Linked DNA regions of Ovis aries. Each later gene encodes a partner of the first gene's protein in a complex. Links are inferred from orthologs where the notes say so. Each region holds a gene or a part of one and is shown on either strand. Other genes may lie near its edges. The genes, in order: RAF1 and RAP1A.

What was found.
Region 2: the proteins of RAF1 (region 1) and RAP1A are in contact, whole or in part, in a crystal structure (PDB 3KUC), measured with the Homo sapiens proteins. The link is inferred for Ovis aries from reciprocal best matches to the Homo sapiens genes RAF1 and RAP1A. Residues at the interface, in NP_001341619.1 of Homo sapiens: Thr57, Arg59, Asn64, Lys65, Gln66, Arg67, Thr68, Val69, Val70, Lys84, Lys87, Val88, Arg89, Gly90; in NP_001010935.1 of Homo sapiens: Val21, Gln25, Ile27, Val29, Asp33, Pro34, Ile36, Glu37, Asp38, Ser39, Tyr40, Arg41.

The regions. Positions count from the first base shown.
Region 1 is NC_056072.1:56,409,600-56,413,950, forward strand, and holds the start of RAF1 (RAF proto-oncogene serine/threonine-protein kinase), read left to right. Parts: upstream 1-1,434; 5' UTR 1,435-1,737; intron 1,738-1,903; exon of another isoform or gene 1,904-2,156; intron 2,157-4,351. UniProt on the Homo sapiens protein: Serine/threonine-protein kinase that acts as a regulatory link between the membrane-associated Ras GTPases and the MAPK/ERK cascade, and this critical regulatory link functions as a switch determining cell fate decisions including proliferation, differentiation, apoptosis, survival and oncogenic transformation.
Region 2 is NC_056054.1:89,123,019-89,126,832, reverse strand, and holds part of RAP1A (ras-related protein Rap-1A), read right to left. Parts: intron 3,099-3,814; coding exon 3,042-3,098; intron 369-3,041; coding exon 228-368; intron 1-227. UniProt on the Homo sapiens protein: Counteracts the mitogenic function of Ras, at least partly because it can interact with Ras GAPs and RAF in a competitive manner. Together with ITGB1BP1, regulates KRIT1 localization to microtubules and membranes.

The DNA.
Region 1 (4,351 bases):
TGCGGGCTTCTCATTGCAGTGGCTCTTGCTGCTGTCGAGCACGGCCCTAGCTAGGGCTTGCAGGCTTCACTAGCTGCAGTACATGGCGCAGTAGTTGCGGATCCTGGGTTCTAGGGCACAGGCTCAGCAGTTAAGGCACATGAGCTTAGCTGCTCCTCGGCATGTGGGATCTTCCCGGATCAGGAATGGAACCCCTGTCTCTTGTATTGGCAGGTGGATTCTTTTCCACTGAGCCACCGAGGAAGCCGAGTCCTACACATAGTGTTGCTTCATCTTCATTTCCCTTTATACTGTACATAGGACTGACTATATTTTCTTTGGCTTTCTCTTTACAAGACAGAGCTTTTGATTATTGCTGACTTCCCAATACGGAGAATAACATCAGGCTTTCAATAAAAATTTAAATTAAAAAATGTACATGGTGTTGGGTAGCATTGTGTGCCCCTGTGAGAATGAACAGTCATTCTGTACATGTTCTACTTTTTAAAATGTAATGTCTTCGATGAAAAAAAAAAATCAGTATATAGAACTAGCTGATTCTTTTTAACAAATGGATATCATGGACTGTGGAGATAGCACCCTTTATTTGAGCAGTTTCCTTTTTAACTAAGTAACATTTTTTTCCAGTGTCATCTCTAAGGCAAACAGCATGGCAATGAACATTTTAGCGAGTGCCTTTTTGTGCTCTAGAATTAGTGTCCAGAGCGGACCTGCTGGGGCGATGGGTATATGCATTAAAATATCCATTTGTTGTTGCTGTTTAGTAGCTACACTGTGTCTCTTTTGCAACTCTATGGACTGTAGCCGCCAGGCTCCTCTGTCCATGGGGTTTCCCAAGCAAGAATACTGGAGTGGGTAGCCGTTCCCTTCTTCAGCGGTCTTTCAGACTCAGGGATCCAACCTGGGTCTCCTGCAGGCAGACTCTTTCCCGTCTGAGCCAGCAAGGAACTGAGACTCAGAAGTTTACTGACTTTCCCACATGATGGGTAAACGACAGAGTCGCGATGTGTCTCCTGATGCGTCGGACTCCAGGGAGAACACGCCAAAGCTGGACACTGTTCTCTACACTGAGTCCTCGGGCTCATTTGGTTATCTCTGGACCTTGAGATATCACCAGGCTGGCCTTCTTCTCCCTTTTAAGTCTCAGACTCCTTCGGGGCAGCTAAACTCTGACCCTCCTCGACCGCCACTCCGTTGGCCGATCAGCACCCGCCCTAGAGCCTTTACGGCTCGGAAATGGCGATCAGCGCGATCTCTAGGCCACGCCCACTGGGAGGTGGGACCAGAGTTCAGGCCAGAGCGATGGATGCCCGAGCCAAGTTTGAAGTCGGCTCCTAGGCGGGCTCGCGCAGAAGCAGAGCTGGTGGCGGCGCAGGTCGGGAGGAGGAGCACCGAATGTAGGGCTCGCCTGCCGGGGCCGCCCGAGAGTCTCTCAAGTGCGGGCGCTGGGGCCGCCATCTTAGATGGCGGGATTAAGGCGAGAACGAGAGTGAGACGGGAAGGCTTTCCTGCCGCTCTTGGGCCCCGGAGAGGGACAGGTGGCCGGGCTTTGGGGTGTGTGCCCTGAGGCCGCGGAGCGCGAGTGGGACAATGCGAGAGCTGCCCGGGGCCCCGTCCCCTGGGCTGGGGACGCGCCGAATGTGATCGCCTCCCGCTCCCTCACCCGCCGCGGGGAGGAGGAGCGGACCAGACGCCGCCGCCGGACGACTGGACGCGGAGGCGGCCGGGCTCCCTCAGGTAGGCTGCAGGGCCGGGCCGTGGGAGCGGGGCGGCGGGGCTGAGTGGGCCGGGTTCCCGGGCGGCCCGGCTAGGGCGTCGCTGACGGAACGGCCCCGCGGCGGTCGGGCGGAGGGCCGGGCCAGGCCGCTGTCACCCCGGGTGGCGCTGGGCGGGCGGGGGCCCCGGGGCTCGGTGTCATGGCCGGCGAGCCGAGTCCCCACATTCCCCACTCAGGATTTCCTTGTGTTTCGGGGAGACGTGCGGGCGCCACCCGAGTTCCCGCTGCACAGTCCTTGTGTTTCGGCCACGGGAAAATCCGCCCAGAGACGCCTCGAATCCGTGTTGTCACTGAGGTGGACCACCGTCGTTTCTTTCTGGCCGCAGAGTGGGGGGACCCGGGCTTGCATCTTCTCTCAAGTGACACCCTTTTCGGGAAGGTGAGAGCGGTCGGGGACAAGAGGAGGAAGTAGGTCGGTGTCCCACCACAAAGGACGGGATCGGGGCCTCCCCTTGGGGCTCAGGACTCTGCGCGTTACTGATGATACCGTTGGGATGCTTATACTGACGGTCGGCCCCAGGATGCTTGGGAATAAAGATCCAGGGCTCCTTTGTGTGAAGTGAGAGCCGCCTGGACGCTTCGGCTGTGCAGCTGCAGAGGCTCTGCAGAGCTAGTCGATGCCCCGAGAGAGGCGTTTGGACGTGAGGAGAGGCGAGGCGGCTGTGTTCATTCATTGTTCTCTCTCAGGGGGCCAGGGTGTGCCCCTTTCTCTGGTGGGAGGAAGGTTAGGGTCTGCTGTGCCTCCTCTAGGTGTGACGGGGTTCTGAAAAGTCGTAAGGAGGGAATGGATTCAGCCCGCGTTCATTATTTCTGCCTGCTTCGTCCGCTCGGGTCTGAGTGGAGGTAGGCGGCCCCTCTGTTCGCTCCCAAATGTGAAAACAAGACGCTGTGATTAGGATGGGTTTACCCAGGGTCGTGCTAGTTTGGTACGACTCATTTTGCTTGGGGGAGTTGAGGGAGCATGTAGACTGGAGGGGGATTTTCGTGCTGAGCAAATGCTCTTCAGGTGGGGAGGGCGGAGCAGGCTAAGCTGAGGAAACAGCTGGTACAGAGGCCCCGAGATGTGCAGGAGTTGGAATGAATTTGGGGAGCAGCAAGCCGTCTGGGGTGCAGGAAGGAAGTGGTGAGAGATGAGGGTCTGAAACAAAGGTTGCCTAGCTTGCGAAGGATCTTTCTTTGTTGAAGATCGTGAGCTAGTTGGTTTAATTGGAGTTATTTTAGACGAATGTTGCTAATTTTCTTGCTGATAATCGATTTTCCCCCTTCTCTTGATGATGTTAAAGCTGTTAGTAATTGCACAGATTTACTTTGTTAAGCTCCGTCAAGAACATTTTGATAAATGCTTTACGTCAAATATTTTGCTCTTGCACTGTGGTGAATGAACAGAATTCATATTTCTCGGGATTCTTGCAAAAGGTTCTTCTGAAGTTGTGCTTGGTCACAAAAGTGTTGTCTTTATAAATGTAAGGCAGTCTACTATAACCGCATTTTAAATGGTTGTTGACAACATAAATTGTGCTCCCCAGTTGCTTAGAAATTGGCAGATTATATGAAACAATCTGAAAAATTGTAGAATGCAACTATTTCTAGTTTAGTAGATGTTTTATATAGTAAACTGTTCGGATTGATTCTGTGGATTCCAGTTCTGTTTTAAAGTCTTTAGCTCTATGAACATAATTTTCCCCAAAGAGCTGTATTGTTGTGCTTAATGTTTGTGCTAAAGTGACTATTATGATATTAACAGACTTCATCTAGAAGTTCCTGAATCTTTTTTGGGTTGTGATGATTATATACCACTCCAGAACATTAAGATTAAAATTCTTTTGGTTTGTTTTCACCCTTATCACTTTAAGGGCTTGCTGTTTAAAATGCAACAGAAACATTTGACCCAGTTGAACACAGGATACTTGGGAAAATTAACCTGTTACTCTTTCTGTGTAAAAGCTTATTATCTTTTAGATATGCAGTGTTTGTGATTATAAGTTGTAGTGAAATTGCTTAGTTTTCTAAAATTCTTATTTAACAACAATTAAAAGATGTGTATGCCTTCAAAGGAGAAGGCTTGAGTGAAGTACAGGAGAACATATTTTATAGGTTTTGGTTTTGCAGGAGAAAACAGTGAGAAGCAGATTAAGCTGGTCACTTACGATGAAAAGTATCTAAAAGATCAAATGGAGAATGGTTAAACATTAAGTATTATATTTTAACTGCTCTGAGACTAGTTGGTTTTAGTTTAAAACAGGCCACTTGTGAAATCCAAAGTAGAAGTTTGCTCTGAGGATTAAACAGCAACTTCTTGGAAGTTAAATCTGACTTCTCCAGAAGCACTAGGTTACTTATTAAATGGAAAATATAATTAATAACTTCAAATTACTATTTCAAGTAACCTGTTTGTAGTAGGTGCATGATTCTATCACATTTTAATTCCAGATAAAGCTTTGTTAATAACCTGTTGCCTAAAAATAGAAAAATGTTACATGGGGAGTGCTTTTGTTTGCATGTTAACATAATAGCCCATACATCATAATCCTGGTCTTGGGAGGAGCTTGTTAGATGAACAGCATGCCTTAATGT
Region 2 (3,814 bases), on another chromosome or scaffold:
GTGTCTCCTGCTTGGCAAGTGGACTCTTTACCACTGAGCCACCTGGGATGTCCTCTCAGTATATTATCTGTGGGTAAATTTAGAAAGCTTAAAATTGTTTTTGGTTACCAGGCCTCTTTTAGGCACAAGGTAGATACCCTCCGAGTTCCTATTGATAGAGAAAATGGATATTTTATATTTGGCCACAGAGACATGGCAATACGCTATATATACAGAGAAATACTTACATCTTCTGTGTCCTTAACTCGCAAAATCTGTTCCCTCAGGTCTTGTAAGTCATTAAACGTGGACTGAGCGGTAATAGAATATACTAGTGCAAACCCTTGGCCATTCTTCATATACAAATCCCTCATTGCTGTAAATTGCTCCTATAATAAAAACATGCAATAAATTATAAATATGACTCCTCCTTAAATGTACTGAATTGAAACATTAAAATGGAAAAAATTTAAAACAGAATAATAACAAGTTAGCTACTGAATTCTTTATTACATGTTATAGTGACAGGAAACCTAAAGACATGATACACAGCTTCTGGAAAATCTGAGATGAATGTTCCTGTCTCCTATTTACCTGACTAAAAACAACAAACTGTAAGAATTACAAGGGAAATATTAACCACTTTTCTTTTTTTTTTTGGCTGGGCTACTGTAGCATGCAGGTCTTAGTTCCCTGACCAGGGATTAAACCCATGCTCCCTGCAGTAGGAGGGTGGAGTCTTAGCCACTGGACCACCAGGGAAGTCCTCACTTTAATTTGGCTTTGTGTGATTTAGAAAAACTGTATATAATTCTTTTATATATCTAGATTTTAATTAAATTATTTTGGTGCTACAAAAGATGATCTCCAAGGTAGTGTTTTCAGAAAAGTTCAAGGAGTAAACCCTGATGCCCTCCAACATTAACAGGTTGGGGAGATGAAGCCAAATCAGGACAGGACTTAGAAACAATGAATGATACAAGGAGAAAACCAGGCAAGCATTGTTTCCTGGAAGTCACATGAATAAAATTTTCACAGAGGAGGATAATGCTCTACTGAATCAAAGCTTGCTGAAAAAGTCAAGGGAACTGAGGATACATGTGAGGGATGTATTCTGAATGACAGATCATGTGCTTGGAGCTACGAAAAGAGGGGCTTGAAGATATGAGGGATAATCAAAGATGTTAGAATAAACAGACTGCAGGTCCCAGAGAAGTTGAAGGGTTTGAAAGGAAGTGAGCTGGAGAAACAAGATGGTGAGTGAAGAGTAAGACACTTGAAAATGAAATTTAGGATGGTATTATGTTATTGGTTATCATACAGTCTAGAGTAAAGACATGGGAATGAATGAATGAAGCAGAGTGGAGGTCAAGAAACTGACAAGCCAAGCTACTAAATCATCTATATTACCCATAAAGATTCTATTTGGATACCAAAATCACCAACACTTTGGACTAAAGCAGTGTTGGAGAAAGTGAGCAACCCTAAAGGAGAAAGAATTGATCTAGAATAAGACTAATGAGCATCAACTACTTTCCAACCTTTATGCAAGGCACTGGGGATAGACAAATATACAGAAAATTATAACAGCATGCTGACTGCTAGGATGGGAGAAATACAAGATATTTGAGAAAATAAGGGAGGATCTCTGCAGTGGAGGAAAACTTCTTTAATTTGGACATGAGGAAGAAGAATGTCCTCACAGTTGTGGAAGTATGAAAGGAAGAAGTAAAAAGTTTTTTTTGTTTTTTTTTTTTAAGTTTTTTAACTGTTGGGGTCTTTGGAAACAAAGGAGAATTATTGCTGATTCAGAAGCTAGGAAAATTGGGGGCTGGGGAAAGTGGAAAGAGGGAGAGACCTCAATTCAGCTGATACAAGGCTACTGTTGGAATTAAGATCCATTTTCCCACAAAAGGATACAAAAATATGGTATAATTTGTACTCTAATTGCTCCAGTCTTCTCATGTTTTTTGATCTGAAACTTTCTCACCATTTATAAAATTATAATGGGGGATATTTGTGAATTTTAAAACAACTTAAAACATTTAAGAATGCCATTCATTTTAGAGCACTGCCTAATAGGAAAAGTCTATACATATGGAGAAAAAAAAAGAAAATCATTTAATGTGTGCATTTTTTTGTGGCAGAATAAAACATCATTAATCAATAAAAAAACTTAAAAAGGTAATGACAAGTGAAGATAATGAAAATAAAAGCAAATACATAGAGTTCATTAACTATATTATAGGTATTTTGTGCCAAATGATTTATAGTCACCATCTCATTTGATCAATGTTGTTGTTTAGCTGCTAAGTCACGTCCAACTCTTCTGCAACCCCACGGACTGCAGCCCACCAGGCTCCTCTGTCCATAGGATTTCCCAGCCAAGAATACTGGAGTGGGTTGCCGTTTAGTTCTTCAGGGGATCTTCCTGACCCAGGAACTAAACCCGAGTCTCCTGCACTGGCAGGTGCATTCTATACCACTGAATCACCAGGGAAGCCCCATTTGATCATTACAAGCACCCTATAATGTACTATCATCATTATACTCATTTAAAGATATGAAAAATGAGGCTCGAAATAATCCTAAAGATTTTTGTCAGAAAACACTTCTATATCACTAGTCCCTTGAGATGTTATAATGTTAATAAAAAGCAAAAACAATTTTTAAAATAAATGAATTACCATGGTATCAAGAGACAGTATTATTTAAGCCCAGAGAAATACCTATTTTAACTAAAATTCTGGATTTAAAATACCTTAAATATCTTTTTTTTTTTTAAAGAGCAGTAATAGCATAACCCTCACCTCAATACAGGAAAAAAGAAACTCAACACACAGATTCTGTAGGTGAACTCAACATACAATTTAATAGTGATATGTGGGCATTAAGTACATTTAATGCACGTAAGAAAATTTAAGAAGTTTTACATTTAGAGACTTAAGTTCTTAATCAGAACAATAGTTTTTACTCAGAGGAATCAATCAGGTGACAAAAACCTGTTTACAAATTAAAATCTAACAAGAAAAAGGAAGAGAGAGAGAAAGAAACATCCTTACTGTTCCTGCTGTATCCAGGATTTCGAGCATACACTGTTGGCAGTCTACTTCAACTTGCTGTTGGGGTCAGGGTTGGGGGTGGAGGAGAATAAAAAAGTAACATCAAAATGTCAGTCTGTTTTCCTCCCACCTCTTCACTCAAAGTTCCTATTAACAACTGGAAGCCTTTCTCCAGCAGTTTGCTATATTGGTGGAGACCTAACTTGATAGTATAATAAAGAATAGGAGGTCTCAAACACATTCTACCAGGACTGTTAATGCTCAGTTTAGATATTTTTCTGACCACCCTGAAATATGAGCATTGATTTCTGTTATTATTAGAAGGCAGTGGTTATATTCTGCAATTTAAGAAAAACAGCAATAAACAGGTATAGTTCTAAAAGGAAAAAAAACCAGCATAAAGTGTGTATATTTATATTGTCTTCAAAATAAGGCGCAAAAGTACCAAGTAGCTCAAAATATAGCCAAGATTTGGGAGTAAAGAAAACTGACCACTTTTCACATTCAAGTCGTCAAAGTTTTACTAAAATGTGCCCCAAATTTAATACAGAGTAAAATTTAAATTGAAGAGATAAAGGGAACACAATAACACTGAACTCATACAGTTCTCAAGACTTTAACAAAAAGGTACTTCTTTGGAAAAGCTGTGTGCATAAGGTGAAATTTCATGTACTAAATTCTATTTTCCCAGGGCTTTACAGAAGAAGAGAAGGCTGGCCAAAAGAAGTACCAACTATTAATGGTTTGGAAAATTTTTAATAAATATGAGATTA